Drosophila melanogaster: one gene and its partner. The main gene of each other region encodes a partner of the protein of the gene in region 2 in a complex. Each region holds a gene or a part of one and is shown on either strand. Other genes may lie near its edges.

What was found. Proteins that work in one complex are often made in the same cells at the same time.
Region 1: Tim17b1 (region 2) and ttm50 share a complex: the UniProt entries of both Drosophila melanogaster proteins name them as parts of the TIM23 complex.

The regions. Positions count from the first base shown.
Region 1 is NC_004354.4:2,730,527-2,734,280, forward strand, and holds the start of ttm50 (tiny tim 50), read right to left. Parts: upstream 1,665-3,754; 5' UTR 1,523-1,664; coding exon 1,264-1,522; intron 1,192-1,263; coding exon 1,008-1,191; intron 952-1,007; coding exon 423-951; intron 364-422; coding exon 240-363; intron 181-239; coding exon 1-180. Other genes in the region: CG2712 (uncharacterized protein), read left to right, coding at 2,039-2,644, 2,705-2,959, 3,030-3,674. UniProt on the Drosophila melanogaster protein: Essential component of the TIM23 complex, a complex that mediates the translocation of transit peptide-containing proteins across the mitochondrial inner membrane.
Region 2 is NT_033777.3:5,298,373-5,301,826, reverse strand, and holds Tim17b1 (Tim17b1), read right to left. Parts: upstream 1,683-3,454; 5' UTR 1,636-1,682; coding exon 1,314-1,635; intron 1,123-1,313; coding exon 926-1,122; intron 860-925; coding exon 839-859; 3' UTR 641-838; downstream 1-640. Other genes in the region: mtd (mustard), read left to right, coding at 2,254-2,357, 3,338-3,454. UniProt on the Drosophila melanogaster protein: Essential component of the TIM23 complex, a complex that mediates the translocation of transit peptide-containing proteins across the mitochondrial inner membrane.

The sequences.
Region 1 (3,754 bases), on a different chromosome or scaffold from region 2:
GAATGTTGCGCGACCACTGTTTGACCATTGGCTTGGTCTTGGACTGCTCGATGCGTTCCGCCTCCAGCATTTGTTCGGCCAGCTTGCGCTGGTTCTCCCGGAACTGGTTGATGGGATCGTCGAACTGGCGATAGTAGTGGAGCACCTCGCGCACGTCGTCCACGTTGTTCTGCGCAATTACTGTAGCGAATTGCAAGGGTCAGTGTTTAGCTTTCAATGTCACTTGTGGCGCAACTTACTCTTTAGGAAAGCGATAAGGTCCAGCAGTTGGCCATCATCGTCGTTGCCATGCCAGCGGGCCAAGCCGAATGTGTTGTCCGGATGCATCTTGGTGGCATTCGCATCCCAGTCCACAACAATCACCTAAAATACTCCCTTCTTTATAGATGATTGCAATAGAAAATACGTTGTGCATGACTTGCCTTCTTGAGGTCGCGATTAAGGTTGTCCAGGTTCTTCACATGATGGCCGTCCACAAAGTGCGTGGCATCCCTGACCAGGCGGTACATAATGTAGCCGTTGGGATCGAGGGCATCCAGGATGGGGAACACGGTCATGCCCTGTTCGGCGGTGAAGACGACAATTTCAAAGTCCTTGGCGCACTCGGCCAGAAAGTGGTCGACGCCGGGACGCTTCTTGAAGCGCCAGCCAGTTTGGTAAGTCCAGTCCGGATGCACCAGCACGTCCTTCATCTCCAGCACAAGCGTGTAGCGCGGCTGCACGTACGGCGGCTTGAGCGGATCGGGCAGCAGTTTGGCGCGCGACGGCTCCTGGATCATGCGCTGATAGTAGTGAATGCTCTTCCACATCCGCTGCAGATACTGCTGTACCAGCGGCTTGTGTGTGAACTCGTCCTCGATGGGCTGCCCGTTGGGGTCCACCTCGGGCTTGCCGAACTCGTAGACGGCCCAGAATCCAGCAGCCACGGCGCTGCCTCCGAATATTGCAAAGCTGCAGCAGGAAGTATTGTTATAATACTGTTACGCATTGAATGGGCGTCAGCTTACCCCAGCTTCATGCGCTTCCAGGCACGCTCGTTCTCCTTTTCCTCCTCCTCCTCGCGCTTCTTGCGCTCCTGCTCGGCGTTGCTGTCCACCTCCGGCGAGGTCTGAGGAAAGAGCTTGGCCAGCAGCGGGGCATTCGGTGCGACCTCGGGCGCATCATTGGGGCCAGTGGCTCCAGCTTCCTGCTCTGCGAAACGAAAGTGGCCAAGGATGAATGTTTAGGACTCTACTGTTTAGGACTCTACCGTGAATCACTTACTGGTTGTGCTGCTGTAGCCACGCGCTGTGTGCAGGATCGAGAAGAGCGCCGGAGCAGCCGCTGGCAGTGCTGTGCAAGTGAATAGTCGGAGGTACTGCTGCTGGTGGTGGAGGAGGTGGTGCTGGTGCTGGTAGTGTTGGTGGTAGTGGTGGTAGTGATTACCCAATGCGCGGTGCTGGTGGATGTGGGTAAGAAGACGCGGCGTGCTAAGGCCGCGCAGCAACTGGAGGACGGTGGCCGGTGCCATGCTCATGCTCATGCTTCCCCCTTCCTTCCCGATATCGAGTCCTAGAGCCGTTCACGAGTCCTGCTCGGATGGCAGCGACTTTTTACTTATAAAAAATTCCAACAAAAATTTCAACTTCCCACCGGCACGGCGTTGGCGTTAGGGATTTTATATACTGTCCACTGCCAGGCGGCACCAGGCGTTAGTACATTTAGCACGTGGCTCTCAGCAGGTATAGATCGGCGATTTTCAAGCCAAATCTGGCGGGATTTTGCAGATAACTGCGTGTGTACATATGTTGCCTCCGGCAATCTGACTAATCACAGTATTAAGAAAATTTTAAATTAAAATATTTTAAATAATATGGAAATACACAACCTTTGACCAACCACCAAGCCACTGTGCCTCTGGTCACTTCCAAGCTGATGTGCCTGGCTAGCTATTTTGAGTGCCACCACTAACGCATCAGCTGGACTTTGGCATCACTGTTCGGGACGCTAAATTAAGTTATTTATTTAAACGTGTATTATCTACTGTCGAGTTCAATCCATGACGACCATGTCGCCGCCGTCCCCCATGGACGCCTTGTGCCGCGTGTGCCACACAGCATCGCCGCGCTGCCTGCCGCTCTTCAAACCGCTCGACGATCCAATTTCCGGCAAACCAGCGACGCTGGCCAGCATTTTAAGCTACTGCAGCGGTCTGGAGATCCTAGAGGCGGAGCTCTTCCTGCCCCACCACATCTGCCCGGACTGCGTGGCCAAGTTGCGGCTCTCGCTGGAATTCAAGCGGAGTGTCCATCGCATGGACAGAATTCTGCGGCAGAGTCATGCGGACTTTTGCCGCAGCAAAAAGATCAGCGCGGTGAATACTAGGGCCAGGCTGTCAACCGAGATTCCGGAGGATTTTGTACTCGTGCTCGATGACCAGGAAGTGACTGAATATCCAGCAGAAACGATACGAGATGAGGAGCAACTCCTGGTCGTAGAATCAGATGAGGCGGAGAGCCGGCTGGAAGCGCCAATTGTACAGGAGGAGAGGCTGGATATTGCACTGGAACAGCACGAAGACGATCTCTGCGAGATTGTCGACGATCCGGATCCGGAGCAACGTAGGAGCAGGTTAGAAAGATCCGAGCCAGCGCTGCAATGTCCCGTGAGTTGCCTTTCCGAATTAGAAGTAAGTAATCACGAAATAGTTTCCCATCTTCGGCAGATTTGCGGCAAACAACTGGCTAGGAAGCGGACCTTTCAGTACCACATGAGGCTACATGGCCAGCCAAAAATTCGCCAAGAAGACAACGACCACTGCATTGAAGAGTGCCTCCAAGTGGAGCCCGTTTTGCAGGCCAAAGCTGGCGAAGATGTCTACGAGATTGTGGAGAAATCAGCACAGACTTCGGCGACGCAGAAAACTTTGCCCAGTGGAAGCCGGCCTTGGAAACCCCTCAATCCCTCCCTACAGTGTAAAGTAAGTTGGTCATCGCAGCTCGCAAATAACTCAAAGCCGAAGGTCATCAATTCTCCCTCCATTCCTTTAGATCTGTGGCAAGCAACTAAGCACCAACAACTCCTTCAAGTACCATATGCAGCTACATGGCACGGCCACGCCCTACGTTTGCACAATCTGCGGAGAGTCCTTTAAGACGCGAAACGCCCGCGACGGCCATGTCACGCTGCACGATCGTAACAATCCGAACAGGTGCCCCACCTGCTTCAAGGTCTACCGGCAGGCGTCCTCGCTGCGCACACACCTTCTAATCCACAGCGGAATCAAGCCATTCGAGTGCAGCATCTGCGGCAAGAGGCTAACACAGAAGTCGGGCTACAAGAAGCACATGCTCACCCACACGGGCGAGAAGCCGCACGGCTGCGACATTTGCGGCCGTCGCTTCCGCTACTCGAGCAATCTGATTGCCCACAAGCGCTGCCACAGCCAGGAGAAGCCCCACCCGTGCCCGGTGTGCCAGAAGCGCAGCTTCGGCAGCACATCCGAGCTCAACCGCCACATGCTCGTCCACAGCAGCGAGCGACCGTTCGGCTGTGAGCAGTGCGGCAAGTCCTTCAAGCGCCGCATCTCACTCGCCATCCATCGCCAGTCGCACAAGGCGGGCAGACAGCGGAGGCGGGCCGAGCATGAAGTGGGTGTCCAACTGGAGGAGCAGGACGAGAATGTGGAGACCTGAAGCTAGATCGCTTATACTATCGGCTTAATGTACAAATCGGGACATTTAGTTTTAGTTCAATTCGCTTTTATTTTCGGTAC
Region 2 (3,454 bases):
AGGCTTTCATATACTCAAGCTTATGAATAGCCCCCTCCTGACGATTCGGGTACTTGGTTGTCACATTCACATTGTCACGGTGATACAACTATCTGGGCAGAGGAAACCCTATTTTCCCGCCCGAAATCGTAACGGAAATTAGTTTTGCCAATCAAACGGGAACGCAATAATAGGGAAAACTGCTCTTATGTGAGTGCAGAAAGAGGAATGTAGTGCAGAAGAGATGTTTTAATAAAGATAAGCACTAGCAACCTTTTAAAAAAAAGGAACGATTCAAAGTGTAACTTAAGAAAATCTAATGATATATAGTAGAGTACCCTTGATTTAGCTAGTGAGAAACTTCAATATGTTGTTGGCATATCGATTGAAGTAGCAGACAAAAACAAAATAAATAAAATCCATTTGTCTGTTACACACTTTTCTAGGAATCTAGTAGAATCCACTGACTCCACGGGTGCAGAAACAAGCATTATAAAGTGGAATATTTAGGCTTAGATATATTAAGGTTCGAGTTTCTGGCTTGATCAAAGGAGTTTTGTAGGAGGAAACCCCAAATAAGTTTGGAATTTCAAGTATGGAGCTTTGAAGCACACGCGCCTCCCAAAAAGCCACCACACTTCGGCTGGACTTCAGACTGTCTATATAAATATGCCGAAGCAAAATATATTTATGATTCTAAAACTTGCACTGTACGACAATTGAATTTAAATTGAAATGGGAATGCCGCCAGTATCAGATTCGAACAATCAAAGCAATCTTTTATAAATTGGTATGCAATCGTCGATCCACGCGTTCGCGGATGGATAGCGACGACTAGGCGATGACGCAGCGAAGAATTCTACAATGCCGAAGAGTCAATCTGGAATTAAAGAGTGTGAGTGGCGGAATTATTGAGGCGTATTATTGCGCAGGGGATTTCACTTACCTCTCCATAAGTCGCTGCGAGTGGAGAAACGCCCTTTTGCTGCCGTAAAAGCTCCTGCTTATACCGTTGCTGCCGCTCCACGGGCGACACCTGGCGGTAGGAATCCGCCGAATAATGGGACACCACAATGCCCACGCCCTCTATTAGGGCCAATAGAGCCCCGCCCACCAAGGCACTACTGAGCATGGAGGTTAGTCCTGCCAAAAAGAGGAATAAGCAAAAAAGTAAATATTCGCATATTCGTGCGATAATAGCCATAAAGTTAAGCAGAAAGAAAAACAAGGCAAAAAGGATATAAGGATATAAAAGTCCTGAGAAAGCATTGAAAACCAGCCTGGTTTACTAATTGTTAATGCATTTGTCTGAAAAAAAAAACTTTAAAACTCACCAGTTCTAGCAGCAAGAATGCCCCCGGTGGTTGCTCCACTAATTATGGCGTTCCACGGGTCCTCCTTCTTCCGGAAGTAAACCAGTGAGCAGTCGATGGCGCTGAAGGTAGCGCCCCACACCGCAAAGTTACCACCCACCAGGCCGGATCGAGCCCGTACCGCCGCCAATCCTCCGCTCAATCGGTATCCCAGGCCGGAGGGGGCGTTTCGAAAGCCCTTGATCGCCTGGAAGGCTCCTCCGCCCAAGGCGCCCATTGCGAAGGCTCCACCACAATCCTCGACAATGCGAAAGGGACAAGGCTCCCGACCGTACTCCGCCATGTCAGTTGATTATCGGACTCAGGAGAGTTCAGTCGATAAAATTGATGGGGTGACAGACACACACAGCAGAATAGATGGACAAGTCAAAGCCTCCTTGAGAGCGATTTTCAATTCAAAGTTTCATTAAAAAACTTTTAAAGCAAATAGAAAAAATTACATTTTAAAATTAGAATCAGTAATTAGAAGCACTCGACACGTGTGTTATTCCTTACAAATTACTTATACTTCATACTTTTCCGATTTAATTCTATCGAACACCTAAGGACAAGTCACATGAAAATCGTGACTTCTCGCCAATTGTTTAAAGGCTGATCTAACAAAAAACAAAACAGATCAAAAACCGTTTAAAAAAACATTTAAAATGCGTCGTTTTGCCGTATTTGGACACTCGCTGATCGTCAAGATAATCATTACAAAACGATAGCAATTGCACAACAAAAAGGTTGAATAAAAAAGGCAAACGGGCTGCCAATAAATAAATTGTTATTACCCGGTTATGGTCACAATTCGAGCTGGAAATTTGTAAGTGATAAGGATCGCAACAGATTGCGCTCCGATCGCTACAAGCCCAAATATTCCATTCCCAACCGATTTACAACCACTCTCCCACTTTTCCAGGAGCAAATCGCGCAGCGTGGATCACGGCCTTGCGGCTCCATTCGACTTGGACTCGCTCCGCTCCAAAGTGGAGCAGCGCTTCGAGAGCGTCGACAAATTATCAAGTAAGTCACTATTCAAATAAGTATAATTTAATTAGACAGACTTAAACCGATGGAGAATCTTTGGTTAGGGCAGCAGATGGATGCAGAATTATATGAAAATCATTTTGTATTTCTCAAAACAAATACTTATTTCGGGAAGGATCCTTGCTGAACCCCGGCTTAAGCCCCCTGTATCCACTCACTTTCAATTAAAATAGTTCAATTTAAACTTATATGTAATATGAATGTAAAATTTGTGTAGAACTCGTAGGTTCCTCAAGTCAACGCTAGGGTATTCTGCCGCCAGGTGTCGCTCATGCTCACACTCTATGTAAAATCGATGTATTATTAGAAAAGTGTACATATTGAATCAAATCAGCTAGCAAAAAGGGTGTTTTTTTTTTTAATTCTACAGTATTCCGATTCCGATATATCAGAACAGATTGTACTTTGCGCGTTACATTCAATTTTAGTGCCTAAACCAGAGGCATTCTTAACATAATCATAAAATAATTTTCATTAAAAAAAAAAACATACTTACTTACTGGCATTAGTTTGAAGTTGATTCAGGGAATTGTGCGCCAACCGGGGGGTACCTATAAACAAATTCTTATCGCACCTCCCGTTTGAAAGTGCGCGCCAAAGCTAACAGCGCTGATAGTTGATTACATGTATGAATGTAATTGTGACAGTTCGAGAAAACTGATGAGCCCGCAGTTTTAACGATACAAAAAAACCGTATGATACAGGGCTAGAAATGGTGGAATTGATTGAGATATACTGGCACATGCCAACCAACGAGTTCTCGGTTATCTACCACTGCCGGCAGCAGGTTCCGCCCACAGGTGTGATCTGCTCGCACTTGCGACCCGATGGCGACTCTTTCGAGGTCTTCCAGCAGCGTGCCCCGAAGAAGCACGATCCTCCGAGTAAAGAACTGCGAGCACGTACCTCCAGCGATACGATGCCATTATTAATTATGATTTCTTTTCGTTCCGCAGGGCAAAAGTCTTCATTGCCCACCATACCCACCATTTCCTACACCGTGGGCAATCGCGACACCCTGACCTCCGTGGCCGCCCGGTTCGACACCACGCCCTCGGAGCTGACCCACCTCA